Linked DNA regions of Astyanax mexicanus. The protein of the gene in region 2 interacts with the protein of the main gene of each other region in a biochemical or structural test. Links are inferred from orthologs where the notes say so. Each region holds a gene or a part of one and is shown on either strand. Other genes may lie near its edges.

Region 1 (16,971 bases), on a different chromosome or scaffold from region 2:
AACATGATACATCCACCCCCATGCTTCACAGTTGGCAAGGTGTTCTTTAATTTAAATTTTAAATTGTTTTATTTTTGCCAAAATGTTCTTTGTTTGCTAAATGGGGACAAATAGAATAATTCTATTTTGGCTTTAGTAATCTACAGCACTACTCCTCTACCTTCACTAGCTTTTCTATGATCACGTCAAACATTGAGTTTCGTCACAGTTAAGATTTTATTCTTATGACTGAAAATGTTGTGTTTCTGAAAGCAATCATGCACTGGAAAACAGTGCACCACCTTTTTGACTCATCTAAACCTTCATGCAGGTGCTTGCCAGTAATGTGGGACTTTTTCTTGGTTTTCCAGATCTCATCTTGACTTGGGTAAATCTTCTCTGTCTTCTTATACTTTGTCTTTTTTAGATTTTCACACAGTAGCCAAGAAAAGCTTCAAAACACAGTTCATCATGCTGTAATGCACAATTCTAAGTTAAAGCTGGATCATATCAGAAAAAGCCATGTGTCAAAACCATTCAGAAACACAACCGCCACTGTCACAGTGCAAAATATGCAAGAGCATTTCACAGACAGGTTCAAACAACTGGTCTCAAATTATCAAAAATTTACAGAATTGGAAAAATAAGGGATAATTCAGTGGGGATAATTCACCTACCTCAATGTACTTTACTAAACCTCACCACACCTCGCTGTTGACTTAAACACTTATTATTCATTTTACAGTTAAGACTACAGCTAATACATAACTTATAACTTAAATTTAATTTATTTTTGTAGTAAAGTATTGTCTGCATAGACAGTAGTAAGTAAGATATAAATATAAATAAACTATATGTGCATATTATACATATATTTTGTAAAACTCAGTGTTGGTGCTTTTATTTTTTATTGTAATTTGTTGTTATTTTTGTAATTGAGAGATATTGGGAGGGAGAGAGAGAGAGAGAGAGAGAGAGAGAGAGAGAGAGACTGAGGTTTTCAGATTGAGATATTGAGAGATTGAGATATTGAGAGATTAAGAGATTGAAATGTTGAGATTGAGATATTGAGAAATTAATAGATTGAAATATTGACAGATTGAAATATTAAGAGATTGAAATATTAGGAGATTGGGAGACTGAAATCTTAAGAGATTGAGATATTGAGAGACTTAGATATTGAGATATTGCGATACTGAGATATTGACAGATTAAAAAATTAAGAGATTGACATATTAGGAAATTAAGATATTGAGAAACTGAAATAGTACGAGATTGCGATATTGAAAGATTGAGATATTGAGGGACTGAGATATTAAAAGGTTGAGATATTGAGAGCCTGAGATATTGAGAGATTGAAATATTGACAGATTGAAATATTAAGAGATTTAAACATTAAGAGATTGAGATATTGAGAGACTGAAATATTGACAAAATAAAATATTAATAAGTATATTAAAAGAAATACTGACAGATTTAAATCTGAGAGAGAGAGAGAGAGAGAGAGAGAGACTGGGTGTGAGGGGAAGTAACTATTATTGCAATACACAAAAGGCAACCTTCATTATAGGACCATAATTGGGGTCAATTTTCCTCACTCTCGCCCCCCCCTCCCTTTCTCCCTCACCCTATACCGCTTCCACCCCGCTTCCTTAATGAATCGCGGAGCAGCCAGCCCATAATAACCCGGTTAGCACCTCGTGATTAAATGCTAACAGGCCATTATTGATTCTCACCCGCGTTACCGAGCGCATCCTCGCGCTAAACTGTTAACTCATTTCGGAAACGCTAATACACACACTTACTCACACACTCTCACCCGCTCACTCTCACTCAAACTCTCACACACACCAGGGTTAGTTTCTCTAACTTAGTAGGGCGTTTTCAACACCTCCTGTGCGCCTGTTACAAGGTATCTACCCTTACAGCAAAGAACATTGAATTAACGTGCGTGTTTTTTTGCTACATCGCTTTTAATAAGGTTGATGATTGAAACACAACCTTTTTTCAACCTTTATTCAACATCACCAAATAGGCATCACCAGGTAATGTTGAAATTCTGACGTTGAATCAACTTTCATTTAAAGGATTTGAGTGATTGGGCTAAGCATTTTTTATAATTATTATTTATTTGTCCTTATATACACCGCAAGGCCAACACAGTGCAAAACTAAATCGAATAGAATAGAAAAAAAGATATACATATGTTGGTAATGTTGGTAAAGTTCTATACAAGAAAATACATTCAAATGTCTGAGATCAACGTTGATTGATCATCATTTTGCTACCTGGATAGTTAGCTACATTAGTTAAAGAGCTAAGCGTTTAGCGTTTACATATTTAATGTCCCTAAAACAAAAAACATTGAAGAAACGTTCCTTGTTTTTTTGATGCATTACAACTTGTAAGGTTGATGATGGAAAAACAACATTTAAACAACCTTCATCATTTGATATTGCCTAACAGGAATCATAGGTCAATGTTGGAATTCTAACATTTAATCTATGTTTATGTAAAGATTTTGAATGGTTGGGCTGGGCTCTAAATCTACACTTACATAAATGTTTTAGGGTTTTAGTTTTTATTAATTATTTAGCTAAATGTCGCTAAATACACTGCAAGACCACACAGTACAGGCTATAATAATAGAATATTTAATGTAAGTAAAGTTTATTACAAACCACACGCATGAAACAATACCGATGGGCACATATAAATCAATTCTAAGTCGGAGATCAAAGTTGTTCAAATGCATTAGCGATTAAAACGTAAACGTTGGTTCAGCATCATCGTGCTTTTAAATGGCTTTAAAGGCTCGAAAGATAAGGCATGTAAAAAACAACGTAAAACGTTTTCTCAATCCTGAACATTCTCCCCAAGGTAACCCAAAGTATATTGTGGTGTGGGAATAAAGTCTGGTCCGTCTCGCATGTCGATTAACATCGTTAAGGTGCTGTTAAACCGTTTGTTCGCCGACATTAGCAGCTCTTCTGGGTGCAAGAAGTCAGTAAGAGGCCGTGAGAAAACTACCCCATTGAATACCCCCTTTCAGACCACCCTAAAAGCCCCCCATTCACGCCACCACGCGCCCAGTGGCACACCCAATTTCCTCCACATTTCCTCAGCGCTAATCTGTATTAATGGATATTAATAGGAAATTAACGCCATTTCTGCTTTCCTTTGTTAACTAGGCCATGGATACCAGTTCCTCTCACCTTCTCTCTCTCTTACATTCTCTCACTCTATGTCTATGTCTCTCCATCAATCTCTATTGCTTCCCTCAGATTTATTTAAAGAAACCCAGACAACACAAGAACTATGTTAAATCAACGTTTATTTTTAATGCATTCAAACAAGGTTGATCTCCGACGACAGAATTTATTTCTTTGTGCACAAAGATTTTACATTGATTTAAAATTATGGTACAATAATATGAAAGATGTATATACATTTTGCCATCAGTAAGTCATAAACAAACCAGAAGGTTTTATACTTTGGATTATTCTAAGTACCGCATTTATCTTTGAGGACATATCTGCATACTTTTGGTATTTTAATCTAAGTGTCTTCATGAGGAAGAGTCATCTGGAATAGTTTTCTCAGCATCTTGAAGGTGTTTCTGGAGGTGCTGAACAACAGTTGCTGCTTTCCTTCACGCTGTGAAGCTCCAGCTCATCCAAATCACCTCAAATCACCATCTCAGTTCATCAGGTTTAGATCAGGGGATTAATGTGGAGGACTAATACATTTTTTTTCTGTTTACTATGTAATTCCATATGTATCCCTTAATTGTTTTTATCTTGAATATTAATCTAAATGCATAAATTAAATTAAAAAAATCAAGAAAAAAGTTTAACTCTACTGTACGGTTTGTATAAAACTTGTATAAAAATCACACATTAAATATGTCCTGATTGTATTCTATTCGTATAGCCTGCATTGTGTTGTTCTTAGAGTGTAGTAAGGGATTTTTAACTAAATAATAATGATTAATATTTGCTAATATTATTATATGTGAAAAGCACGTTTTACCTAAACGCATTAACTAATTTGAAAGCAGATTCAGAGCAGATTCAACCAAATCATTTAAAACCTTTAAATGAACATTGATTCAATGTCCGAATTTCATTAACATCAACAGATGATGCAGCATCAACAAACAATGTTTAAAAAAAGGGTGAATAAAAGATGTGTAAAGGTTGTTCTTTTTTCCATCATCAACATTACAAGATGTGTTGCAACCAAAAGAAAGAATGAACGTTTGCTCAACGTTCTTCAGTTTTGGGAAGCCTCAGTCTCAGAAGAAAACCCCACTCCACTCATCCACTCACTCTCCCCGCACTCTTTGTAGTTTTACCTCCTACAGGTAGAGAACAAGCTCGTCTTTTCTATTTTCTCTTTTCTCTTTCCAATTCACCCCACCTGCCCCCTCCCCACCCCAGTCAGTGTTCTATTGCCCGTTTCCTCTCTCTTGTGCCCCCATTCTGCCCTCTTTAGCATGTGCATGGTGAGCGGGGTGGAGGTCCGGAATGAGGCGCTCCCTCCGCCCGAGCTCCCCGGGTCTTTATTACGCTGTTATTTTTATTTTATGGTTCTATTACCCCGTTAGTCCGACCTTATTTACCCCTCTCTCACTCTCTTCCTGAGCGGGAAATTGCCGCCCCCACCCGCAGAGAGAAACCCACACTGAAACCAGGCAACACGATATAACCCCCCATCAGTTAAATAATAACTTTTATTATTATTATTATTATTATTATTATTATTATTATTATTATTATTATTATTATTATTATTATTATTTGAGACTGACTGAAATAACATAAAATTAAATTAAGATAATAAGGATAATAAAATATAGATATATAATAAGATTTATTTTAGAAATTATTATTTAGTACTTAACTAAGCAATTAAATACTTAACTAAACGCCATTTAAATCAATAAAATGCTAAAATGTAGCAAATCTAAACTTTTTAAAACTACCAATTAAAATTGTTAAAAGAAATCGAATTAAGGTTTTGAAGAAATGAATTTTAAAAATAGACAAACCAGAATTAGCTAAATATATCATGGACATATATTTACCAATGGTAAAATAAAAAATAGTTAAAAGCTATTTTACAAAAAATAAAATGCAGAATATGTATTTATTTCATTTAAAGTAGAATTATGTTTAAAGTAGAATACATTTATTAAAATGACTATTGAAAAAAATAAAATGTATACAAAAAAAATAAATGAAAACATAATAAAAAAATAACACAATGATTAAAACAAATTAATTACAATATTTTTTAAACATAAAGGTGTTATGGTAAAAAAAAAGCAAATAAGCTGATATATTTAACAAAACGTATTATGTTTATCTAATTGATTAGATAAATAGTAAATATACAAAGCAAAAAATTTAAATAGTAGAATTAAATGGCATTGAAAGCAACTAACAAAACGCTATAATCATTAGGAAGGAAATTAAAATAACTCATAAATGAAAGGAGAACAAAAGACAAAGGAGCGAAATGAAAGAGAGGGAAACTGTTCGTTGATGTTCTGATTGATGTCCGAAAGTCATTTTGCGGCTCTTTAATGAGTTCACATTATGATGTGATTGATCTAAATCGGTTTGCGTTTGGATGTTAAAGTCGCAGTTATTTAAAACATTGACCGGTTCTTTGTTCTGGGTTAATAATCAACTCTTAAAGACAATATTAAAGGATAAAAGATTCTGATGAGCCCTTTTATCATCACAGGGTCACAGGTGTTTTTTAGTTTTATTTTTAAAAAGGCGCTTCTAAGGTTCCTTTCGGAATAAAAATCAAATAGCAGTCGGGTTTTAGCGGTAATGCGTTGAAAGAATACCGCATTATTATTTTATCGGTTTAAACGGAAGGCAATCTGTACCGAAGTATCGCTTTGGGTTCGTTAGGTTCGTCCCAGAGCTCTGGGGGTCTCTGAGAAGATCTCTGAGGTGTGTTTTTACAGTTAGAGCTGACTGATGAGGAGCGAGGAGGGTCCAGACCTGCGGTGTGAAGATCCAGGTTTAGAGAACAGCAGTAAATATGACTGAGTGTCTGCTGGGAAAGTGTCCTAAAACAGGAGGGGGGGAAAGAGGGAGTTAGAGGGGTGGATGGAGGGATGCCAGTGGGGGGGGGGATGAGTGTGAGGTGCTTCTGGATTTTGGAGGTATTCAAACCATCTTTATTTGTTTCTGCTAAATCACTTGAAGTGTCTTACAGAGTGTAAGGCCTAAATAAACATCCAGGACACACACACACACCAGCGCATGTATTCCTGCCTTTGTGGGACAGCACATTCCACATTAGCCACCTGAAATCCAAGGATGCTGTTGTAGTTATGCTATAACTAGCCTATACACATTAAAGCCCAATGATGCTATCAAACACACATATACAGTACCAGCCAAAAGTTTTAGAACACCCCTATTCATCCCCATCTTCAGGTCCAGTCAGTTTGTTACAGAAAATGGTAAAAAAAAAATCCAGTGTAGAAAAAAAGTAAAAAAAAAAATAAAATAAAAAAATTAATTTTGTTTTGTATAAAAATGGATATTGTAAATGTATACTTTACAAAAACTTTAGCAAACAATGCATTGGTTAACAGCATACGAATTAGAGTTCTGACAAGTGAAGTGAAGTATTAAAATCATTGATAAGATAAACTAAGATAAAACAACTTGTCTGGGTCTTAAAAAAGTGCTTAAAAGTGAACACACAGATAAGTTTAAACGCTGCCTTAGCTTCATAAAGTACCATGTATTCATACCTTTATGGGACATTTCCTGTAGATGCTAACCGATAAAGACAATTCAAATCCTATAATTAGCTAATACACCTTAAACTCTAGAGATGCTAACACTGCTAACACACATACACAAATAAACACACACATATGTGTGCAAATGTATTCAGCATGTATTCATATCTTTATGGGATATTTCCTGTAAATGTTACCTGCCAAATGCAATGTCAGTGACACCATTAGCTAATACACCACAAAGCCTAGTAATGCTAACACACAAACACACAGATAAGTGTGTTAATACTTCCTAAATGTCTCACAGTAGCATGTATTCATAGCTTTATGGGACATTTCCTAATGCTAACTCCTAAACACAATGCCAATGTGAGACAGAATTAGCCTACACACACTAAAGCCAAGCTCTCTCTTTCTGGTTAGCACATAGCTAGTGTGTGTATTACTGTATTTGAGGGTATTTCCATGTGCTAACTACATTCCAACACAGCTGTTAGCCAAATTTACCCTACACAGACTAAAGCCTAAAGGTGGCTAGTGTGTATTTCTGTCTTTGTTGGACAGTTTCATATGCTAACCATAAGTCAGCATCACTTTAACTAAATTAGCATGCAGGATAGATGGAACACACTGCTAACCTGACTCTAGACTGAACACACACACACATATTGGAATGTATTTCTGTCTTTGTGGGCCATTTCCTTATGCTAACTGCACATCAACACCACTGTTAGCCAAACAAAGACAGGAATACACACTTATGTGTGTTTGTGTATATATGTATGTATGTATATATGTGGAATTGGGTTAGATATGTAGCACAACAGCATTCACACATATGTGCTTACCTTAACTTCACACACACAAACACACATTAGTGTGTATTTCTGAAATTCTGGGCCATTTCCTTGTACTGAATGCATGCAAATGTGCAAATGCCACTGTCAGCCGAACAAAGACAAACAAAGGAATACACACATATCTGTGTGTAAAATCAGGTTGATTCTGTAACCCTGTCACCCTTTTACCACTGTTTTATTATTTAGTCCCCACAAAGAGATAAAAACACACAGACATGATCTTTTCCTATGGTATTCTAATTTAGGGATAATTCCACACAGTCTTTTCTGTGTATTTGTATTTCTATTTTAGTTGGGTTCTTCTGTATGAGGAGGTGCTGCACCTAGCTAACCCAATCCTCATCTCAACCTCCCCCTCCATCTCCCTCTCTTTCTCTCTCTCTCTCTCTCTCTGTGATGCTAACACACAAACACACACCAGTGTGTATTCCTATCTTTATGGGACATTTCCTTATGCTAACAGCATAGCAATTAGCCTAGAGATGCTAAAACAAAAATTGCACAGATGTGAGTGTGTGTAAAAGGTGTTATGCTAACAATTCTAAATATATATATATATATATATATATATATATATATATATATATATATATATATATATATATATATATATATATATATATATATATGTAACGCACAAACACACATACATTTGCTTATGTGTTTGTGTATTCCTACCTTTATATGGCATTTCCTTATGCCAATAACTGTATAGTCAGTTTAGACTCTTTTTTAAATGATGATATAATGATATATAAAATACACAGGTCCCCACAATGTCAACCTATACAGATTTCTACTATGAGGTCCCCACAAAGTGATAAATACTTAAGGCTTAATATGGTACTTGCATTGCAATTTTTAATTACTATTTATTTTAACATTTATTAATTTTTTAACCTGTCTTAACCTATCAAACACACACTTACACATAAACACACACTTAAACTACACACATTCACACCACAGGTAAACCCACGCCCCCCGGTCCAGACCGCCCCCCCCCCTCTCCCCCCACTCCCGTTTCCCCTCCCCTCTCGTTTCGCCCGTGTATAAAACCGACAGGCGCTCGCGCAGAGTTATCACAACTCTCAACTCAGACTAACACACACATACACACTCTCTTACACACTGCACTCTCACAAACTCTCCTCCAGCTTTACTGAGGCAGACGCCGCTTCTCACGATACATCAGCTGGACTTCTGCTGCTGCTGCTGCTGGATCTACACGAAGAGACGGACTTACTGAAAACACAAAGATAAAAACAGAGGGAAGAAAAGGACGAGTGCGCTTCTATTCCTTCGCTTCTTCTCCTCCTTCTTTATCTCCACCTCGAGGATGGATGTCCTGCCGCTGCTTGCCGCGGTGTGTGTGTTATTCAGCCCGCACACACTCGCACTCGCTTCCCGAGCCAAGGCGCCTGCGCTTCCCATCCAGTCCGAGAGAGAACCGCTGCCTTCCAAAGGAGTGTCCGGTACGGCAATGTCTGTGTGTGTTCGTGTGTGTATGTTTAGTATTTAGCACATTGTGGGGACCTGAAACTATCTGAGGTCCCCAGAATGTTGCAAAACCATGTGATATAATGATAAATTCATTTTAAGTAAGGAATGACTTAGATGCAGCACAACATTTCTACATATCTATTAATTGGATTTACTATACCCCACAAAAGTATAAATGTAAACACAAAGACTGTGATGCCAGTCAATAAGTTAGTTTTATTATGTTGGAGTAAAAGTGAGTGGGTAAAGATAGTGTTGTTTTTTTAGTAAGGGTTTAAGTTTAACTTTATAAGGAACTGCATTTAAGCAAATAGAATTGGAATTGTCTCACAAAGATAGGAATACAAACAGAACCGTCTATATGTATGTGTGTGTTTTAGCATCACTGAGTTTGAGTGTGTGTCCTAATTCAATCAAATACTGGCCCTGACAAGTCTCCAGTTTCAGCTCTGGAGGTCAGTCTCTCCCTGACCCGCTCCTGGACGTCTCTCTCTCTCTATCTTTCTATGAGTCTGTTAGTTGTAGCTGAGGGGCTTTCTGACACCATTCCAGATGCCTGTAACCACACACACTAACACACACACACACACACACACACACACACATCCCCTCCAGCCGTCTCTAATCTCTTCCAAATCTTACTTTTTGTCATTTTAATCAAACCAGTCAGAAAACATTTTAGTCATACCCTTGTTCGTTTTAACCCCCTCTTTCCCCTTGTACAAAAGCCTATACACACTTAAGTTCCCACAAAGAGATAAAAACCAAAAAATGAAAACACACACAGACATTATCTTTTTGCATGGAATTCCAATACAGGGATAATTTCACATAGTCTTTTTCTTGTGCTTGTATTTCTATCTTAGTGGGGTTCTTCTCTAGGAGGCTGTGCTGCACCTACTTATCCCACTCTTTACTTCAACTCTTTACTCTTTCAAATCTGTATATTGAACTTCCAGATGCGGAAAGTCACAATTTATAGTAGGCCTGTATGAAATGATGAAATGATCATTGTTCCTCAATATAATACTCTCTCTCTCTCTCTCTCTCTCTCTCTCTCTCTTTCTCTTATTGTGCAGGATGCTCGTTTGGTGGGAGGTTTTACTCTCTGGAGGATATGTGGCATCCGGATCTCGGAGATCCTTTCGGTGTGATGCACTGTGTGATGTGTCACTGCGAACCAGTAAGTCCCACTTATGCACCTCACTGTTGATTTTATCTCCTGATAAACAGAAAGTAGTTCCGGCAGGTTAGAGTCCTGATACTAATGAATTAATATACTCTGTGTGTGTGTGTGAGCAGCAGAGGAGCCGACGTGGGAAGGTGTTTGGGAAAGTCAGCTGCAAGAACATAAAGCAGGACTGCCCCGAGCCCAGCTGTGACGACCCCGTCCTGCTGCCGGGACACTGCTGCAAAACATGCCCTAAAGGTACCCAACACACACCCTCTCACTTAGAAATATATATATATATATATATATATATATATATATATATATATATATATATATATATATATATATATACACAGTGTATACTCTAAAACACACCCATACACACACCTGCAAACATGCACCCTCGCAAACTTTCCCTTACACACACACACACACACACACCTGAGTAATTGTATGTTTTCCTTCAGCTGGTGAAACTGAATGAATGGAAAGAGAGTGGAGTGTTTGGGAGGCCCTGACACACACAGTGTTTATGTTTCTGTGGGAAAGTGTGTGTATGTGTGTGTGTGTGTTTGCGTGAGCCTGTTGGAAAATCCCTGGCTGTAGCTTGAGATGGATAGATGGATGGATGGATGGATGGATGGATGGATGGATGGATGAAGGAGTAAATGAAAGATGGATGGAGTGCTATAATTTCTGAAAGTGCTTTCACACACTCACATACTCGTTTATATATTCACCCCAGACCACAAGACCACCTGCATTCGTTTCTGTTTTTAATGAACGAATGGGTAGAAATGGTGAAAGAGCACTCTTTCATTGCAGTGATTTCTATTACATATTTTTCTGCACCTCATCCAATTAAACATTATATTTAATATCCTCAATATATCCTCGATATGGCATAATCTGAAAACACTTTCTTGAGGAATGCACCCAGAGAAATGATCCAAAGTTACCTGAAATAAACTCTTTTTTTACATTGACTTTCACTGGAGGTTAAGACTTTTTTTGAGATTTTAATTGGACAGCGTTGATATCATGATTTTATCATTATAAGATACAGTATCATTATATTGCCCAGCTCTACAATATCATATATCCAGCATCCAATACCCAATAATATAGTATTAACCACACACACACAGTGTTAGACAGTACTGTTCATCATCATTATTATCATCATTTAAGCAGCTAATAAAGGACTGTATTGTGTATTGATGAGCTGATTGAGTGTGGAGTCTGATTGATGTTGTGTGTGTTTGATGGCAGGTGATTCAGACAGGAAAGCCACAGAGTCTCTGTTTGACGGCTTCGAGTTCTTCCAGGAGAAAGAGGACGACCTTCACAAATCTTACAACGACCGGTCCTACCTCAGCTCCGAGCAGATGAACACCGGAGACAGCAAGACAGGTCAGACAGACAGACAGAAACAGATATATACACACCGATATACATGGACTTAGACTTTATACAGCTTCCCATATCTTTAATTCAGTGTTTCACTGTGTTTTAATCTCTTTTTCTCTTGTTTCTGTAGATTTCGTGGCCTTGCTGACGGGTGTGACGGACCTGTGGCTGCCCAGTTCCAGCGGAGTCGCCCGCGCTCGCTTCACACTCACCAAAACCAGCCTGGCTTTTTCCATTACCTACCAGAGGTAGCTAACATACACACACAACCAACCAACCAACCAACCAACCACATATACACAAACACACAAACCTCACACATAGTCATAGTTTTTCACAGATATGAAATAATGAATAGCTAATATTCTGGTGTGGAGCAGTGGATAACACCACTACCTGCTAGTGAGCTACCACATAATGAAGGAGACTGGGGTTAAATTTCCAGTCTGGGTGACTGAATGCTGTGCTTCACCATAAGAGTGCCATAATGGCAAAATGATATAAAATGTAATAAATGTAAAATATTCTGATACAGTATATAGTATACTCTATTAGAATATAGTATACACCATAATACTTAGAAAACCATTAACTCTTTATGACACATTTTTGCCCTCAAGAATCATACAATAACATACCTATTTCTAATGTATTTATTTATTAGTTTATTTATTTTAAAATAATCTTATGTATGTTTACGTCTAATACAATGAGATAAAATCATAAATAAAAATATGCATGCATGTTTAGGTATCTATGTGCTAGAATATGTAAAGAAGTACAGAAGTACTGGTGTTTGGCTGTTTATTGGCTTATTATTATGGTTGCGTTATAAAAAGTTCAAATGAAAAAATATATTTGATTTAGATTTATATTTCCTCCTGAAAAATATATAATAATGCTATAGCGGGTTAAATTATACATTTACTATACAATTCACATTTGTTACTGATGTTTTATGAAAGCAAGTACTTTAATACATTGTAATAGGCACTGTAAGAGTACAAAAGTTATATATAGGAAAATATATAAACTTTATTCTGTTATTGTCATTTCAGGATTAACAGGCCAAGCACTATCTTGTTTCTGGACTCCGAGGGAAACACAGCTTTCGAGTTCAGAGTTCCTCATGCAGAGTCAGAAATGGTAAGGAAAGAACGCTTCAGTGTGTGTGTATATGTGTGTGTGTATAATGGTGTAAATCTCCTCCCAATGCTTTCACAGTATAATTCCTATGCTATCCAAACACAGCCAGCAGCACAGTGTGCGTTTCAGTGTGTGTTTCAGTGTGTGTGTTTCAGTCTGTGTGTGTGTGTTTCTAGATGTTTGTGTCATGAGGTCAGTGGCATTGGGAATGCTAAAGCTAACGTTAGCACCGGCGCTAAAGAGCAGCCGAATCGCCGGCTCCCTGAGTTACGAAGTGTTTGCGCCACTAAATATTTGTTTAAGCGTTCCTGTTCAGACACAAATCGCCAGAGAGGCTCTTCTGGAGATGACAAATATGCTCACACACACACTAATATGCACACACTAACACACACACACATACACACACTAATTCACACTCACTGTTGTTGAACAAGTATCCATAAAAGGCAGTTTAGCAGCAACTTAGCTAGTTTAGCTTCAACTTCTTCTTAAGCTATGAGCTTAATATTATTCAGTACTTCAGTACCTATACTGAATGTTTATATGCTGTGTGTGTGTTTGTGTGTAGATTTGCGGTGTTTGGAGGAACCTGCCCAAGTCCCACATGCGGCAACTGCAGGAGGAGCAGCTCCGGGTCTCCATTGTAGCCACGGATGGAAGGAGGGAGGAGATCCAGGGGAAGATCATCAAACACAGAGCACTGTTTGCAGGTACAGAACTGGCCTTATTGTTGAGATGTTTGGTCATCCATTGTTTCTGTTGCTAAAATCAAGGGAATTTCAATGCTTTAGTTGGATAACTTTAGTTTTTTTTTTATCCCAATCCTAAGATTTTTTGATGGAGCACCATCCATCCATCCATTCATCCGTCCATCCATTCATCAAGCTCCACAGTTTAAAAGCTCAATGCTGGGAAGCTTTCTACTTATCTAGCCAACATTTTCATTAATCTACAGAGATTGGATATAGGGCTGCAATTAATGATTATTTTGGTAGTCGACTAATCTGATTGGTCAATTAGTCAAAGATTATTTCTTGCTTGTCTTTCATTTCTAAAAGATGTTGTTTAAACATCACCCATTACCCATCTCCCATGGGTAACAAATTAACGATTAGTTGACAGTGAAATCTGTAGTTCCAACAATTTCAATAATCAACATTAATTATATGGATTTTATATCTAATCGTTTCAGCCCTAATTAACTATAGTGTGTCATCAACAGTTAAACATACATTGTTTTTTTTTTTTTGCTTAACTACACATTAGCAGTAAAATTGTTGGGTAACTCTTCTTGCAGAAACGTTTAGCGCCACTCTGACGTCGGACGAGGAAAACTCCGGAATGGGAGGAATCGCCATGCTGACGTTGAGCGACACCGAAAACAACTTGCACTTTATCCTGCTCATGCAGGGAATCATTCCACCTACGGAGAAAGGTGAGTCTCACACACATACTGTACACACACAAAGCATCTGCTTTCTTTTGGTTGATTTATATTTATATTAATATCTGTTACCTGCATTTCTCCTTTAGCGTCTCCTCTGGTGCCGATCCGAGTGAAGCTGCAGTATCGCCAGCATTCCCTCAGAGAGATACACGCCAATGTTACGGCTCAAGTGAGTACACAAACACACACACACACTCATACACACATCCCATCTTCCTCTGTAAATCTCAGACTCTTTGTTCCCTCACCAACTTTCTTGGCTCTCCTGAAAAAATATATATATAAAAGTGTGTGTGGGTGGGCGAGTTTGAGTTTTAGTGTGAGTCTTTCTTTCTGTTAGTTTTCCGTCGGCCCTCAGAATTCCAGACGATCTATAGAGCTTGACACACGTGTGTACATACGTTCTAATCTTCTGTGTGTGTCTGTGTGTGTTCTAGGACCCCGACTTTGCTGAGGTCCTGACCGATCTGAACAGCCGTGAGCTCTTCTGGCTCTCTCGGGGGCAGCTGCAGATCGTTGTGGAGACCGAGGGTCACAACGCCCACCGCATCTCCGGCTACATCACTGGGAGGAAGTCATGTGACAGTAAGTGTCCAGCAGCCATGCAGTCAGTGAACCAGTCAGTCTGGAATCTAGTCAGTCAGGCAATCAACCAGAGAGTTATTAAGCAGTCAACCAGTCAACCAGTCAGTCTAGCAGTCATTGAACCAGTCAGTCAGGCAATCAAGCCAGGCAGGCAGTCAACCAGCCATTCAGTCAGTCAACCAGTCAGTCTAGCAGTCAGTCAACCAGACAATCAGGCAACTAGTCAGACAGGCAGTCAACCAGTCACTCAGTCAAGCATTCATTAAGTAGTCAGGCAGTCAACCAGGGGTTCAGTCAGTCCACCAGTCAGGCAGTCAACCAAGCAAGCAGTCAGCCAGTCACTCCATCAGTCCCCCAGCCAGTCTGTCAACCCATTGTAACAGTGTGTATAGTCTGATGTGAATCCCTGAGGCGGACCCTTCTGCTCCAACAAATCGGGGGTTGAAAAGTTGAGGGCGAAGAGTTGAAGGCTGCAGGTCTCTGCTGTCGTAAATTTCCTGTCAGGTTGCTGTAATTACTGCGTCTGTTCCACAAAAAACCCAAGCACTTTCTCATGTGTGTTTGTGCATCCTGCCCCTGCATACACACACACACACACACACACACACACATATTCACATTCACATACACACACACATACACACACATATACACACACATATACACACACACATACACTGGCAGGTTCTGCCAAGGTCGCAGGCTGCTGGCCCTCTTCTCTCTGCACTGTTCCAAGCTCGTGATTAACAACCTGACGTTATGAGGGGAGAATTCAAACAAAACCTCTCTCTCTCTCTCTCGCTCTCTCTCCATTACTTTTTTTACTTTATTTCTCTCTCTCTCTTTATATTTGCTTTCTCTCTCTCTTTTTCTTCCTCTCTCTAATTGCTCTGTTTTCTGAGTTTATGTCTTTTTCTGTTCTTTCGCTCTGTGTACTCCCTGTCCTCCCTGTTTACTCGCTCCTCATTCTCTTCTGCTCCCCATTCTCTCTCTCTCCCTGTCCCATAATTCTCTGGGGCTGACATCATCCTGACCGCGGCGGCTGACCCTAGATGAGTTAATCGGTGTTTGATTGCTTTTCCTTGGCTCGGGCCGGCTTCGTTCTTATGACGGGACATGGAAGAATGCCCCGAGCAGGAAAAAGAGAAGCTCTGGATTAGGGGGTGCATTGCCTCATCTCGCATGCAAGCACGTCGTCCTTCACTGTTGTCACTCACTCGCTTGCTCGCTCGCACACATACAAGGTTTCGGCTTGGGGGTTTTATGGGAAACTTTTGTGAGAGACTTAACGTTTCTTTTTTCTTTCTTTCTTTCTTTCTTTCTTTCTTTCTTTCTTTCTTTCTTTCTTTCTTTCTTTCTCTCTCTCTCTCTCTCTCTCTCTCTCTCTCTCTCTCTCTCTCTCTCTCTCTCTCTTTCTGTCTCTCTCAGCTCTCCAGAGCGTGATGTCCAGCGGCGATGCTTTGACTCCTCTTAAAACTGGAGCTGTCGGATCAGCCGTCTTCAGTCTTCATGACAATGGCACACTGGACTACCAGGTATGAAAGTTCTTCAATTATCTGAATGGATGGCCTTAGTGCCCCCTACCTGTACTTTAGTTTACTACAATCTGTCAGAATGACTGTTTAAACCTTATAGAGGATAGTCATTCGGTAATCCAATCACTCAACCAAGTCGTTCAGAAAGTCCCAGAAAGTACCCAATCAGAAAGTCAACCAATCAATCAGTCAGTCAACCTGTTGATCAATTAACCAGTCAGTGAGTCAGAAAATCTCATTGAGAGTCATTCAGTCAGTTGGTTAGCCAATCAGAAAACCATTTTGGGTCCTTTCCAAACCACCTTTCCCTCTCTCTTCAGGTCCAGGTATCTGGTGTCTCCAGCACCGTGGTTGGTGTGACGATCGAGATGAAACCACGCAGAAGAAGCAAGCGCAGCGTTCTCTACGACGTGACCGAAAACTTCGCAGCTGCAGCAGGGGGCGGTCGTGCAGTGGGCAGCTATGGGCGAATGGAGGCCAGACACATCCACATGCTGCTGCAGAACGAGCTGTTCATTAATGTGGCCACGGCAGAGCACAGCGAGGGGGAG
Region 2 (16,793 bases):
TCTGCAGACATCTCCTACCACCCCCACTAACCAACCTTCTCTCTCTCTCTATTTCCTCCACTTGTCTCTTTACTCACTGCCTGCTTTTTTCTTTTGAAGCCCACGTCTGGACTCACTGCCTGCCACATCACGAGAGACTGCCTTCTCCAACTGATCCAAATGCTTCTGGAACTGTTCAGACAGAGAAGAATTGAGAAGAGAACAGAACACTCTCCACTCAACTCTCCTTTTAGAGGAAGCTTCTTTTAAAACCTCAGTTGAAAACCCTCAATTGAGAGGTTCTTAAGGGAATCTAATGTTGTTTTCTTCTGCAGGGTTTAGACATTTGGTTTTTAGAAATCCAGATGTATCCAGATGAAGACTACCTAGCTTTATGGCCTAGACTTGATGTACTTGACATAGTTTTTAAATCTAGCTGTAAATCTAGTTCAATGACATTGTGATATATCACAAATCATGTTTCACTTGACTCATGTCAAGTTCGTATCAGCACAGGAAATAGTAGAACCACCTGGAACCCTTTTGGAAAAGCTTCAGTCCATTTTAAAGCTCAGAGGTGCTTCAAAAAGAAATATCAGACAAAATACAGATAATCAAAATAGTTATCAACATAAAAATGGTATCATCTTTACCACTGCAAACTGCAATGATACTTCCAATTCATGTTTACAATCAAATATATTCTGTAGAATTCATCAACCCCCCCCCCCCCCCAACCAAAAAAAAACAAACACCCAAAGTCAAACAGGAAAAGCCTTGCGGAAGCACTGGGCCATGGAAGTCATTATATCTCCCTAGAGTGAATCAGACCTACATTCTGCAGACACAAACATCTGATGGGTAAAACAAGCTAAAATGACTAGCGAGTAGCCAACTTTAAATCCATCAGCACACTCGTCAGGACCAGACCAAAGAAAAACACTCAAAGTTACTTGAGCCATAAAATAGAAAGTTGTGCTCAAATTCAATCAAACAACATTAAACTCAACATTAACACTGTGAGGAAAATAAATGATTTCAGTTTGACACTACATTACACCCGTAACATAGCATACTACAAGTGATGGACAAAACATCTCATCCATGGTAGATGTTTGCAGGACTTCAGTAAGTGCAGAATAAAACACCTACAACATTCATGTTTTGGATCATTAGTTTCTGTGGCAATTTGTTATCAGATGTGATCAGCACTTAGTCTTAGCATTACTGCCCAGGTCAGGTAATTTTTTGGTGGAATATATACATTCTGTTTGACCAGCAGAGGCAAATAATTGCTTTTGTGCTAAAGCGTGTTGAGCACCATTTCAAACTAAGTGTAAAGCAACTACTTTAAAGTTTCTGTTAATCAATTATTCTGTGTTGTTTCAATATATCATCATTCAAACATGGCACCAATTGACCACGGGGGGTGAAACACATTTCACAGTGGCTAGAAATGGAGGTATATTTGCTTTAGGTGAAAATGCAATCACTTTAATCCAACAAAGCTAGAGCTTTCTGTGTTACTTTACCATTTACGCTAATGTAACTGTGGCCTACTGTTGTTTATTTGATAAAATGTTGTACAATTAATTTCTATTAAAGCCGTATAAAGTTACAAGTGTATCCACCTTTTTGAAAACATATATTAAATTAAACAAAAAAAACCTTTTTAAAAATCTGCTCTGAAATTGTTGAAGTTGAGCATGACATTTGACCAGGTGTCCCAAAGCTAGCTTCAAAATCTAGCATTGTACTCACACTGAGTGTAGGGACACTTTTGGTGCTGTGACATTTAGCCTCAATTATAGCTAAATGTCAGCACCAACCAACCCCCAACCCACCTCCAACTCTCAGACAAAAAGCTACACTTTTCCACTCCATTTAGAAAGTTTATAACACAGTCAAACAGCAACTAACTTCCATTTTTCAGTGACTTTACAAGAGCTAATTATCCTGTCCTGTCTTTAAAGTGTTCCTCAGCTGCTTTCAAGCTTCGAAACGAACAAGATGTCACGAAATACAGCCTCAGTCTTAAGAAGTGGAGATGAGGGTTTTTAAACTAAACAAAAGCTCTGGATTCCACCCCAAACTGTGCAGCTTTGATTAGACTGTAATTAAGGTTCAACATTTGAGCTGCGTTTAGCATTCTTTAACATCTTTATCTCCTAGCCCTCCTTATCTGCCCATATATGAGCACACACTCACAGCCTCTCTCACACGCACACACACAAGCACAAAGAAGACAATGGTTTTATTTGGTGAATGCAGTTCTCCTGAGAATGACATAATGGAATTCAGCATAGAAAAAAGCCATGCTTACTTTACTATTTAATCATATTAGCTTCCCTCGCTCTCTTGCTCACGCTCTCTGGCACGCACTGTTCCTCTCTCTGTCTGTAGACTCTAACACATCAGCAGGAGGATAGCACAGCAAAACTGAAGGGTGTAAACGGGCTTCAACAGTTCTTAATGTATTTTACCCTTCCGAAGTCTGTCTAAATTGTTTGCATACACAAACAGCTCTAACAAATTTAATGAAGAACAAAACACTTTTCCATGATATTGTAAGAATGAATAAAAAACAGACACAAACATATGCTTGCTATTATTACAACTTGCTGTGTGCTCAATATAAATGTACTTCATTATAGCACTTAGCCATCCTGCATTTGAACCATGTTAAACAAAATGGTGTGGTAGTCTTTCTTAGTTTGTCATGGGGAGGAGAACCTCAACTGAATGCTAAGTGGCGATGTGTTTTTTAAGGATGGGAGCCTTTCAAGCCACAACTACAAGGTAAAATAATTACTGTATGCTGAATGTTTTTAGAAACATTCAATAGCCATTTCAGATAGTTACTAAAATGGCTGTTTGTATTGTTGATATCCTGATCCATGGTTCTCACAATAAAATCTTTTTGTGGTCAAATTTAATCCTGATTCAATACTGGAAGTCCATGAACATCTCAGGCAAGTTGTTGCTCACTAACAAAAACTGTTGGAATATCGTTTTAACAGTTCTTCTCTCACTAGTTGCATTGCCACTCTGGCAGACAGAGAGGACTGTGGGATTGTGTGATATCACTAGGTCTGCATGCATGGCACAGGCCCCGTGTGGTTTTCTGAGCATCTGGAAGAACACAAGACTGAAGAACCACATTCTGGGTGAGTGCTGCAACAGGGATTCAGGTCAAAGAGTCTTTTCCTCTCTCTGTTATTGAAACCACGCAAGGAAAGTGTGTCTGTGTGTGTTTGAGTTTGTCGGTGTGTGTGTTTGGGGGAGATGAGTACAGTTTGTGCCAGTCTGTAAGAACTGGCACAGTTTAAGGGACAGTAAGTATTGCATATAAGTGTATCTGTGCTGTCTGGAGCATTAAAGCAAACTTGAAGACAAGCCACTGTGGGGACATCTGTGGAACAGATGAAGACCGGCTGTCTTCTTTATAACGTTAATAGCATAGCTCTCGTCAGCTCTATCAGTTTAACAGATGGAAATAATTTAACTCTCTACTACTGTTATGGTAAAAGTAAAGTCCATCTGAGCACAGTCTGTGAAAAAATGTCACCCATTAGGTGTCAGTTCTCCATATAAAATGTCTTAATATATGTTGCTGTGTCTGCAGGGCTTTCACCAATACCAGTAAATCGTTGGAGCCTCAATATAAACCAATATTAATTGGCCATCCACTGTACAGTTACAGTAATACACCATATGTAGAATTATATATGTATAAGGCCAAGCCACATGAAAATGCAAGTTTAAACAGAGCCAGTCACTTAAACCACTTCAGGAAGTTCTCTGAGAAGCATTTAAACCAGGTTATAGCAGTGTAAATGCATTTGCCTCACAAAGTCGCTGGGCACATGATCCGTGTCCGAGAAAGATAATCACGGAAAACAGCAACCATCTTTAGGACCGCGCAGGAAGAGGCTAAACAAATAAAGCAGATCTGAATAATCTGTGAGCATCGCAACCCCGGTTCCTTTCATCATCATTGTAAAAAAACAGTATGTAAACTACACATGATGAGTAAAGTATTAACATTTTTTATTAACAGATTTACAAAAGCAAGATTACATTTGAATCTCACATAAAGTCTTAAAATTGAGTTCCAATGCCAAAAAAACAAGTCCTCGTTTTTCCTAAAACTGCAGGAACATTATTGCATAAACAGATCAATAAGGCTGTACAACAAACAGGAGAAAGAGAACAGTTCACTAACCCCTGAGCAGTGTATAAACACAGCATCTGTGTTCAGGACCTCATTCTAAAGTCTGTTACGCTAATAAATAAAAAAACACCAAAAAGTGTGGAAGCAAAGAACTACATACGCCATTAAAATAGTTAGTTATTTGATAATTAAATTGATAGATTTCACAAATTTCTTTACGGTTAGAAAACATTCGGAAAATGTAAATGTCCTGCCCCAATTAAAGGTTTCTCCTAAAGCTAGACATCAAGTCCACCTTTACTTTACATATTGCACAGAAAATACACTTGAACCTCTATAGGAAGCCAAACCCTGCCCTTCTTCCCCATCAGCCCCACGGAACAGTACAGATAAAAGGCTGTAATAACTTCATATTCCAACACAGCCACCCAAGAGGCCTGTTATTCCCTAATTCTCTGTTTGCTTTGTTGGTTTGAAACATAGTAAAAGAATTGGGCCACATTTGAAATCCCTTATGGCTGACATTTACTGGCCCACTGGGGTCTGGCTGCTCTAGAGCTCCCTCAGCTGTGAAATTCAGGGCTCCCTACCCCTTGCATGTGTCATCTATCTAAATCTTGTAGAGCTACTAACCGGTAATAGAGGCCTGGACAGACCTGATGATGTAAGGAGTGAAGCTGTTTGAAAGTGATGCTCCGCAAGGACTTGTTTGTTTACACTGGAAAAGAGAACAGGTCAGAAGAGCAGCAGCTGTGAGAAACTGCTCATACTACGAGTTTAACGTCAAAGAGGTCTTCCTGACTCACTTGCTGCAGTGTCTGGAAACGTGTTTATCTCTTTTACGAAACAATGACGTTAATCGTGTCTGGCGCTAAAGGGCTCCAAGCACACACCTATTTTTTCACTAACACACAAGAAATGTCCCAATTAGCAGCACACGATCACAGTGATACTGTAATTAAAACAACATAAGAAAACTGCTTAACTTCCAGTAAAATTTAGTCTAAAAAGATTTCTCACATTATATCGTTGGCAAAAGTTTTTGGACACCTTCTATCTCATTATTCTTTCTAAAATAATACATAAAGGCAGCTATCCTCAAAGTTAATGCATGAAAGATCAGCAACACCAGAGCATCAGCAGGTCAACCAGGGTAACCTGCTCGGAATACCAATACGAGCCGGTGGGCTGCGATTATTGTCCCTGAGCCACTTGTAGGGGGACTGTGCCTTTCTCAAGGGGTGAAAATGTAAAAATGAACAGCCAAGAGCTCCTTTCAGCTGCAAATTAGGACACGGGAGAAAGCCAGGCCTTGAAAGAGTGAAAAAGAGCAGGATGAAAGAGAGGGAGGGAGGGAACGAGGGGTGGGAGGAGGAGAGGAGAGGAGTTAATAGAGATGGAGGTCTAGGAGACTTCACTCGTCTCCTGAGCAGCCCTGTCAGAAAGAGCAAGGGAGGCGTATAGAGACAGACAAAGTTTTAAAGAAACTTCCCAAATCAGGGTTGTTTACAGTGATGGGGAAGAGAAGGCCTCTAAAAGCTACATTACATTAATTAAACTACATCACATGAAATTAAGCTGTTATGAATACACTGCCTGATGCCTGAGACACTGATTTATGACAGATTAGAGAATAAAAAAGTAAGTGCCCAAATGTTTTATTTATTTAAGGTTTTAATTGTGGAGGAGTTAACTCTGGGTGTTGTACAGCAAAATAGTCCCTGGAGAAAACTTGGTTCTTTGTTCAGATTTATCACTTTATCGCGATAACAACATGCACTCTAATCTTAACTATTTAATAGAACAGAAATTAGAGAAGCTCCCCTTTAAGGCCAGCCTAATTTTTACAGTTTTAAATTCTGAAAAACCCTCCCCAAATATAACTGTAGATCATATGACAGCAAAACACACCACCTCATTTCCTTACAGTGGACACAGACTTATCCCCAAAAGTTAGTCTTGAAACAATTGGACAGCTTAAAAAAACAACAAAAACCATTTCAATAACTACAAACATTAGACTAGTTCTGAGGGTTGACAAAACTGACAAAACTTATGCTTCACAGTCCAAATGTGACGTCAAGCACCTCAAGCAGGAAAGCCCATCTGCACAAACTTAAAGAGCCGGAATGCAGGAGAAAAGTGGCATTTGCATTGCAAAATCATGCAAAGCAGCGCAGTCGCCACCACAACAACAATAAACAAACAACAACAACGTGCAACGTCACTGCGTTAAAGCTTTTTAAAGTTTTATTTGTTGCTTAAGACGGTTGCACAAAGTCGACGCTGTGTTGTACTGTATTTGCACATGACAACAACAACCTCGACAACAATAACAACAGCAGCAGCAGCCGGAGCAAGAAAAGTGAACTTTCACGATCGATATGTGTTTGTTCGCTTGCTTTTTTGCACTGACTGTCTTTGTTGTTTTGTTGCACGCGCTAGGTGCACCGTACCAAGTCAAGCCAACACAGATAAGCACACAAAACAAAAAAAGTAGCGAGTCGAGCTGCGATTTTACAGCCTGTCAGTAAAAGCATTAAAGTTAGCACTCACTCCTCGCTCCAGATTTACGTGGCTGTGCACGGCGGAGGAGGAGGTAGAGAGAGGGGAGAGACAGCGAGCGAGAGAGAGAGACATTGAGAGAGCAAGCAAAAAGAGCACCGTTCGCTCAGCAGCTCTCACCTGCTTTACACGGGTCTTTGTAGTCGATGGCATCCGGTGGCTCCTCGTAGTAAGTGGGCTCGAGCGCGTCCAGCTCGACGCTGAGCAGCACGCGCAGGGCGGAGAACAGAAGCAGCAGCGCGCAGCTCGCGGCGAGATCCATGATTCAGCCGACAGAGTGGGACACACGGCGCGGGGGAGAGAGTGGAGGACTGAGAGCTGAGGGAGAGGGAGGCGGAGGAGGAGGAGGAGAGAAGGAGGGGGATTGGTTTTAGGGGGGGAAATGAGATCCGCGGGGAGGGCGGGTTCTAACAGCACGACTCTGCCTCCTCTCCGCTTCTCTCCTCTCTCTGCCTGAAGATCCTGCTCGAGCTCAGGGGCTCCGCGGCTGCAGTGACGTGACCTGCGGAGGACAGGAGAGGGATCAGAGGCAGGGGTCAACCAGACGAGCCTCACACACACACACAATCTCTTTAACCTCACCTACATAATGATAAACTCTGGATGAACTGTATTTAAGGTGGATGAACAATCAAATATGATTTATGTATGCCTGTAATGTATCTTTAGTTAAAACGTTACCAATTAAGTTAACGTCAGTTCAAATGTTTCTGGTAGTTTAGTTGTTTATTTCACTTTATCATGTTATTTATTTATCCAACTTTAAATTGGATGTTTTGGTATACAATAAAGTATAAAGAAAATAAAGTATTTTCCCCCTACAGATTCCTTTTGCTTTTGTATTTTTGTCATACAGATTATGAAACATATGTTAATATCAGACAACGATGAATGTAAATATAAAAAAATCACTTTTTAAAGGATCATTTTATTTATTAAATGAAAAAACTAATAACTTGGTTGTGCCAACCTTGGCAGCAACAACTGCTATCAGGCTTTACTAATAACTAGCAATGAGTCTTTCACATCTCTGTGGAGGAATTTTGGCCCACTTTAAGATCATGCCACAGCATCTCAATCTTCTTCAGTATTGTCCGGTAAAAAGCAGAATTTCTGGTTCTAACCATTACAGGAAGTTGTCCAGGCCCTGAAGCAGCAAACCAGTCCCAGACCATCACACTATCACCACTAGTTTTACATTCAGTTTGATGTTCTTCTTCTAAAATTATGTGTAAGTTTACGCCAGATGTAACAGGACACACACCGTCCAAAAACTGTCACGTCAGCCCAAAGGATATTTACCCAAATTCCTGGGGATAATTAAGATGTTGTTTGGCAAATGTGAAATGGGCTGTTGTGTTCTTTTTGTTCAGCAGTGTTTTTTGCTCTGAATTTTATTTGCCTTGGACATTTTTCTTATTATTGGATCATTAACGCTGACCTTAACTGAGGCCAGTGAAATCTGCATTTCTTTAAATGTTGTTCTCGCTTCTTTTGTGACCTCCTGGATGCATAGTCCATGCCTTTTTGGAATCATTTTGGTCGACCGGCCACACCTGAAAAGGTTCAATAGTGTTCCATGTTGTGTTCATTTGTGAATAATACCTATCCACTGGAGTCCCAAAGCCTTGGAAATGACTTTGTAACCTTTTTCAGATTGAAAGATGTCAATGACTTTGTTTTCTCATTTGTGTTTGAACTTCATTTATAATGTATTGCATTTTGAGATCTTTTCGCTGCTTCATGTTGTCAGACAATTTCTATTTAAGTGATTTCTTGATTCTACATGTCTGGCGGCTAATGAAATTAAACTTAGCTATCCAAAAAGTGTGATTAATGACAGTTAATTAATGGGGGGCGAACACTTTTTTTATGAAGACCTATATTGGTTTTAATAGTTTTTTCCCTTAATAAATGAAATCATAATTTAAAAAGTGCTTTTTTATATTTACTCAGGTTATAATATATTTTATTATATATTATATTAGATATTTATATTATCTAATATTATATATATATAGTTTGATAATTTGAAAAATGTAAGTATGACAAAAATGCAAAAATAAAAGAACTCTTTAAGGGAGCAAATACTTTTTCACTGTACATATTTATAAGTCCTGGGAGGCCAAATGAATGTGATCAATCAAATTACTCTTTTAATGAAGACTGTACATCTTTACATATAGAAGCTGCCAGAGAGAATCTCAGTAGACAGACATTTGCTTGCTCTCATATAACTTATATATAAATGAGAGAGAGAGAGAGAGAGTATCGGCCAGTCCACACATTGTGTGTGTTTAACTTATTTAACCTTTCATACCCCCAAAAAACATTGTCTATTCTTAAATAGAAAAGAATTACTCTGATAGCAGTTAATTATATCATGCAGTAACATTTATTTAAAGGATACGGCTTGGTTATCGTTAAATGTTTGTTAGCTAACCTGACTAGCCAACTAGGTTAACATAAACAGTTGGAAGAAAACAACGAATTTCCTCAAAAAATAAACAATAAAATGACATATTCAGCCCGCAAGAGTTATTAAGATATAACTTTTAAAGTTAAATTACAACCTGCATAGCTAGCTCTAGCGTTTTTAGCTACCTGAAACCCCTGATGTGAAGCTCCTCACCGAGGAGAAGTCTCTGAAGTGAATTGACGGTTAACGGTCAGCGCGGGAAGCGCGCGCAGTAATTTAAACAACTGTGACTGAGCTCGTGACCCGCTGCGCAGATTCGCGCTGATCTACCTCTCACTTTACCCAGTACTGTTTGTTTATCCAAGTTCAGAGACCTGCCGCCTGAATTCTGAATTTAGAGACCACCGTTTTTGAACCAGTTTCTCGGATTTTACTATTTATAGGTAGATGTTTAAGTAAAATGAACATTGTTGTTTGATTCTATAAACTACGAACAACATTTCTCCCAAATCCCAAATAAAAATATTGTCATTTAGAGCAATTATTTGCAGAAAATGAGAAATGGCTAAAATAACAAAAAGGAATTTGTTTTCTTTCCGGTAAGAGTTCAATATTTCAATATAAATCAATATTTGGTGGAATAACCCTGGTTTTTATTTCACAGTTTTCATGCATCTTGGCATGTTCTCCTCCACCAGTCTCACACTTTTTGGATAACTTTATGCCACTCCTGGTGCAAAAATTCAAGCAGTTCAGCTTGCTTTGATGGCTTGTGATCATCTATCTTCCTCTTAATTATATTCCAGAGGTTTTTAATTTGGTAAAATTAAGGTAACTCTTCATTTTTAAGTCTCTTGTCTTTTTTCCAGAGCTGTAGTTACTTGTATAGTGGAGGACATTTTCATTTAAATATCGAAGTGTTTTTGTTAGGTTTATTTTATTATAGGATTATCCACCTTAAGGTGGATGACTGTTCTCTGATAGCAAATAATATTAAATAAACACACATTTTTTGGTTGAGTTACATCTTTTAAGGTGGATGATGGAAAAAACACCCTTTATATAACATTGTCTAATAGGCATTTTGATTTAATGTTGAAATTCTGACACTAAATTAAAGATCATTTACATTACATTACATTACATTTGGCAGACGCTTTTGTCCAAAGCGACTTACAATATTGAAGTGCAAATAATAGAAGAGGTTAAGTACAAAAATAATAGAAGTTAAAAATAAAGCATCTATAGATAGGGCCTTAAGGAGGTCAGAGGGAAATAATGGGATAGAGGAGTAGAGAAGAGGAAGAAGGAGATGAGGTTAGAATTAGTTAGTTTGTTAGAGGTGTTAGGAGAGTAAGTGCTCTTTGAAGAGCTCTGTCTTCAGGAGTTTCTTAAAGATAGCGAGAGATTCTCCTGATCTGGTAGTAGAAGGTAGTTTGTTCCACCATTGGGGAACTCTGTATGAGAACAGTATGGATTGCTTTGTGTGAGTGTTTGGCAAAGCGAGGCGACGTTCATTGGAGGAGCGCAGCGGCCGGGAGGTAGCGTAAGCCTTCAGGAGCGAGTGCAGGTAGGAAGGAGCCTGTACTGTCATCACCTTGTAGGTGATTGTAAGCACTTTGTATTTGATGCGAGCAGCAACCGGTAGCCAGTGGAGCTCAATGAGCAGCGGAGTGACATGTGCCCGTTTTGGTTGGTTGAAGACCAAACGTGCTGCTGCATTCTGAATCATCTGTAGTGGTTTTACTACACAGGCCGGGAGGCCAGTTAGTACGGCATTGCAGTAGTCGAGGCGTGAGATTACCACAGCTTGTACCAGGAGTTGGGTGGCCTGTTGCGTCAGAAACGGTCAAATTTTTCCGATGTTGTAAAGCGCAAAGCGGCAGGATCGAGCAACTGAGGCCACATGGTGCGTGAAGAGAAGCTGGTCATCAACCATGACACCCAGGTTCCTAGCAACCTTTGTCGGTGAGAGAGAGAGAGAGTCGATGGTTATGGCAAAGTTGTGTTGAATAGAAGGTTTTGCTGGTATGACCAGAAGTTCAGTCTTTGAGAGGTTTAGTTGGAGGTGATGTTCCTTCATCCATGCGGATATGTCTGAGAGACACTGTGATATTCGTGCAGAGATTGAGTGATCATCTGGTGAGAACGACAGGTATAGCTGAGTGTCGTCAGCAAAGCAGTGGTAGGAAAAACCATGTGAGCGGATAACCCGACCTAGAGAGGTGGTGTATATTGAGAAGAGAAGAGGTCCCAGTACCGAACCCTGGGGAACCCCAGTGGGTAACGAGTGAAACTCCCGTCCAGAACAACCATGTATGTGTTTTCCTCAGACGTCTTCTGAGAAAATTACAGGCAGAATTACCTACTGTTTTTCACTGAACATTGTGGTCATATCTCAGAGTTTCGTCACCTCTCCTTTAATAAAATTTTCCACTGCCATGGTGCATGTTTCCACGGAGATTCACTTAAACACAACAGTGGAAATGGAGAAGCTACTGATGTCATGTGACCGACAAAGCCAAACAAGTCACTCGTCCTCCTTTTTTTTCAGTTGCAGTCCAGATGCAATAGTTTTATTACTGAGTAGAATTGTGAAATATTTTTCACAGCCATCCCCCTGAGAGACTAATCCCATCCAGATAGGGCTAAAGACATACTGTAACCTATGCAAAGGCAGCTCTATTTGGAACATCCTGTATTTATCATAAACAAGTAATTTACATATATTTACATATTTACATATACACACCTACTCAGCCTATAACCCAGTTTATACAGTGCCTTGCAAAAGTATTCAGCCCCCTTGAACTTTTCACATTTCACATTTCAGGCTTTAAACCTAAAGATATGGAATTGTAATTTTTTGTGAAAGTCCATACCTGAATCCAATCGAGAATCTGTGGAAAAAGCTGAAAACTGCTGTTCACAAATGCAAAAGGTGGCACTACAACGTTTTAACGCAAGTTTTTTTTTTTTCTAAAAAAAAGTTTAAAATATCCAATATATTTCGTTCCACTTTGCGATTGTGGCCCACTTGTTGTTGATTCTTTCCAAAAAAAAAAATACAATTTCATATCTTTATGTTTGAGGACTGAAATGTGGCAAAAGGTTGAAAAGGTCAAGGGGGGCGAATACTTTTGCAAGGCACTGTAGCAGGATAAAAAGAGGGTTTTAGCCTGACCTGTTTTTGAAAAAGGTAAAGTTCACTGCAACCAATCAGACAAAAGCTAATTTACATACCAAAGTTTTTTGGGATTCATGATTTATGATGTAAAATTAGTTCTGGCACATAAACTCAACACAATCTGGCATAAATGTTGTAAATGGACATCATGAGAAGAGGAACTTAGCATAAAAATATTTTTTTGTTTGTTTTGTTTTATAGTTAGAAACTTAGTAACACACAGCTGATAGTGCTTTATATTACAGACCCCATGAACAATCATGTTTAGTAGTTTAATGAACTTTAATGAAGGCTTTCCCTAAGAGAAGCATGTTACCAGAGAAATTGTATTCTCTAGAAAAATTGTATTCGTGTACAATTTGGCAAACAATGAGAAGAGGCACACAAAGTCAATGCTAAACTGGGCCTGAATAGAATGCATAATGTGGCGCCACACCCCAAAACCAGCAGATATTCTGCTCACTTTCTTGAGCACTTTTTAATGTATGAGTATCGTTAGAGTGCCACCAGGGTGATTAGTATGCAGAGCAATAGTAGACCCCTATTGATCCGCTGACAGATCTGCCGGAGTGTGTGATATTGATGTTCTTGTACACTATCTGAGCGCATAGCTACAGCTTTGTGTTCATAGCATTAATCGATGCTGCGATGCTGTGTGAAATTAGTCTGTATGCGTCCGAAGTCGATGCTCTTTTACGGAGTGCTCGGGCTAGAAGGAGTGATGTGAGCTTGTGAATTGCACAACATGTTCTGTATTCTCACATAACATCGACATGTGCAAACAAAGCACTAATTCCTACTCTTTATAGTTAATGTGGATCATCTTTTAGGCCTATATCTTTTCTTCTCAGAGACAAACCGTATTATTCTCTTCTTTTTACAAAAATAAAAATGGTTTAAACCTTATTAAATCAGTTTTGACTAATTTATATATATATATTATAGGCCAGATCTTTATGTAAAATATGACCTAAATAACTCCCACACACCCATTATTGAATGTATTCAGCTCCTGATTCAACCATTAAACTGCACATGGTTGGGTTAATTTTCTTTGTACCTAGTCTAAAAAGTTTAAATAAATAAATTAACCTCAACCACTGTTGTCACTTCCTCTAGGGAAAAATATGGCATTGACATATGTAATGTTCTCAGTATTTTTGTATAATATGTTGAGAATAACTTAATTGTATTTGTATCTGTAGTTTTTTGCAGTTTACATATACCAAGCTGACGACGAGTCTCATACAGAGTTTCCCAACGGTGGAACAAACTACCTTCCAGTACCAGATCAGCAAAATCCCTCGCTACATTTTACAAAGTCCTGAAGACAGAGCTCTTCAAAGAGCACTTACTCTACTAACACCTCTAACACACTAACTACTTCTAACCCCATTTCAGTTCTTCCCCTCCTTTCCTACTCTAACCCATTATTTTCCTAAAAATATTTTTGTCTTGAACTTCGATGTCCTCTATTGCTAATGTATATCATTATTTGTAAGTCGCTGTGATTGAAAGTATCCACTAAACGTAATGTAATGTAATGTAATATAATGAGTCAAATTCACCTACCTCTAGTCCTACAGTGGGCCAAATACAACAGAAAGGAGGTTGACAGACACTATGTTTAAATGGTTTAAGCCCAATATAAGCAATTTATTGTACTGTCTTTAATTGCACTTAAGTATTTATTTACCGTTATTTAGAGAGTATATTGTCAGTTATATAAATTGTAGACAACATCCGACTGAATGTAGTAGTTAAGCAGTTGCTGTTTGTATACATTTCTAGTAATTTTCTGAATCAGCTTAACTCTGAATCATAGTAAACTTGTGAAATTACACAAATTTCAAAGAGATCCACTTTGCCAAACCGCTTCCAGCTGCTTTCTGTTTAGCTCACAATTCAGATGTCAGAGCTGGGATTGACATAACAAGTTGGTGGCATTCCAGCATTTCATTATTTTAACACTATTTAAAAACATTCCCAAAAAGTACAGTTAACTAAAGAGTTTAGAACAAATGATATGACAGACATTAGCAGTGTATTGGAGAATCCAACCAAAATATGTCCTGTTTTTATCCAAACACTATGAAAACATATCCACAGATAGAAGTTGGACAATACAATGCATGTTTCTGGATTAATAAGACACAGATAGAAGTACTAAAACTATAATACTGAAGCTTTTCTACTGTTGATGTGTGGTCAGGGCCTTCTCAAAGCATTTGGGTGCCCCAAAGCAACCTCTTTTATTTTTGTTCACATTTTTATTCATGAGCATGTGGTACCTTGTGTTGTAGAAGTATCATTAAAGCTGAAAAAATGGTGCAGACTCAATTTGTGTTGATTTTGAGGCCATGATACCACTAGATACAGTTTCTCAGAAAATTATCTCAGAAAATTGAAATATTATATAAGACCAATTGATACTTTTGGCAGTGTGGGCAGTGTGCCAGGTCCTGCTGGAAAATGAAATCTGCATCTCCATAAAAGTTGTCAGCAAAGGGAAGCATGAAGTGCTGTAAGATTTTGTGGGAAACACTGCACTGACTTTAGACTTGATATAACACAGTGGACCAACAGCAGCAGATAACATGACTCTCCAAACCATCACTCATCATCAGTAAAACTTGCATTCAATTTGTAAATTAAGGGACAAGAGTCTGTAGGAAAAGTGGGGAGACACACAGTTCAAGCTGCTTGAGGTCTAGTGTGAAATTTCCACAATCAGTGGTTTGAAAAGCCATGTCATCTGCTGGTGTTGGTCCACTGTGTTATATCAAGTCAAGATTTTACAGCACTTTTTGCTTTCCTCTGCTGACAACTTTTATGGAGATGTGGATTATAAATGTCCTTCCAACTTTGGGAGAAAATGTAGGAGAAATTTAATGCTCAGTTTGTGCCATCCATATCATTATCACTGTCACAAATCACTGAATTAAAAAAAAATTACAGAAGTGAGGGTAATTTTTTAAAATATTTTTTTATAGTTTTTACATTTTAAATGGAAGTCAATGTGTGTTATAATAAACTGAAGCAAGTAAATGATTCTATATGTTATATAATGAGTCTGAATACATATTACAAGTCACATTTTTACCAACCTCTGCACTATTTACACACTTGTACAAATATTGATCAGGTCATTGAACCCCTGTGTAATCATTTATGATGTGAATTTCGTTTTGCTGTTGCTCACTGGAATTAGATCTTGATACGTGGCATTAAAAGCATGATCACAGTGGTGTCAGACAGGCAGGGTGTTTTATTAGCCGAGTCTTCATTACCTCAGCCGCTCTGAGGCCACGCTGGTCCTGTTATCTCATCAGGGTGAAAAGTTCAAAGGTTAAGTCCCGCAGTGACCTCAACCGAATGAGACGTGACCTGTAGACCTGGTCTGAAAGTGATTATGTCTGCAGCGTGTTGCCAAGGACAGACCAATATCCCAGCATACCTAAACTCAAACAGATCTGCTCTAAAACTCGAACACAGCCTATGTCCTTAAAGTGAAAACCCTTTAAATATGTTTTCATACACTGTCAAAGTGGAGAAAACTCTCCACTTTTTAAATTTTAAGGCAACTTGCAATTGGTTTGCTATAGTTTACAGTGCAATTTAATGTTTTTTTGTTCAGCTGATTTAAAAATCCCATTAAGGAAAACAAGGCTTATTTTTTTAACTGTGTATGTTCTACTAAATTCAATGATTAAGATGTAAACAGAGTAAGTTTGGTGCAAAGGTGTCTCAAAAAGCTCCCCCTCAGAATATGATCCACCATGAAATTCCTGTAAATACACTTAATGATGTCTTATACATTATACATTATGGCATTGAGAGGCTGAAATCATTTAAATTGTGGTTAAAGAACAGTAGCAGTAACGTGAGCTGTTTCTAAGATCATTTTCTGTCCTCTCTATCCTAATGAAACAGTAATGCTGTAGGCCCAGGGTGGATCTGATCCAGTATTAGCACTATTACTGAACGTAAATAAGGACCTTGATGTCTACTGCATTTGGACAGACGGTGTCCCCGGCCTGTAGCCTGACCTGCGACCTCAGCTTTCATTTAAAGCCATATATAACCAGCTCATCCCTTAAATACAGTCTTCAGTTCCACTCCAGACAGCCTGAGAGAAGAACTGTGTCTTCCGTACCCAGTCTTTAAAAGCACAGATTGAGTGTAAGCAGGGTCCAGCTGCTTGCTTCGCTGTTTTGTCTCCATGTTGTGAGTCATCGGAGCAGGAGCTGCACAAAACAGCATGTTGTTTCAACGTTTACTCTGCCTGAAATTAGCTCTCGCCCACATCGCATTGTAAGATTCACTTGAACAGAAAAGTTGGGACACAATTGGCAGTTAGCTATTCTAAGGTTTTAACCATGTGATGTCAGTGTGAACGCAGGGTAACCAGTTCTTGTGGTGACGCCACATACCATATTTTTTACACTATAAGGCACACTGTCAATAAA

Evidence for each region.
Region 1: of the proteins of bmp1a (region 2) and chrd, one has a biochemical effect on the other in vitro, tested with the Homo sapiens proteins (3 studies listed by BioGRID and IntAct). The link is inferred for Astyanax mexicanus from reciprocal best matches to the Homo sapiens genes BMP1 and CHRD.

Annotation. Positions count from the first base shown.
Region 1 is NC_064425.1:10,789,460-10,806,430, reverse strand, and holds the start of chrd (chordin), read left to right. Parts: upstream 1-8,706; 5' UTR 8,707-8,956; coding exon 8,957-9,092; intron 9,093-10,199; coding exon 10,200-10,303; intron 10,304-10,422; coding exon 10,423-10,549; intron 10,550-11,566; coding exon 11,567-11,707; intron 11,708-11,834; coding exon 11,835-11,952; intron 11,953-12,762; coding exon 12,763-12,850; intron 12,851-13,421; coding exon 13,422-13,563; intron 13,564-14,150; coding exon 14,151-14,288; intron 14,289-14,386; coding exon 14,387-14,469; intron 14,470-14,737; coding exon 14,738-14,885; intron 14,886-16,313; coding exon 16,314-16,420; intron 16,421-16,740; coding exon 16,741-16,971. UniProt on the Homo sapiens protein: Dorsalizing factor. Key developmental protein that dorsalizes early vertebrate embryonic tissues by binding to ventralizing TGF-beta family bone morphogenetic proteins (BMPs) and sequestering them in latent complexes.
Region 2 is NC_064419.1:26,973,076-26,989,868, forward strand, and holds the start of bmp1a (bone morphogenetic protein 1a), read right to left. Parts: upstream 7,205-16,793; 5' UTR 6,981-7,204; coding exon 6,839-6,980; intron 1-6,838. UniProt on the Homo sapiens protein: Metalloprotease that plays key roles in regulating the formation of the extracellular matrix (ECM) via processing of various precursor proteins into mature functional enzymes or structural proteins.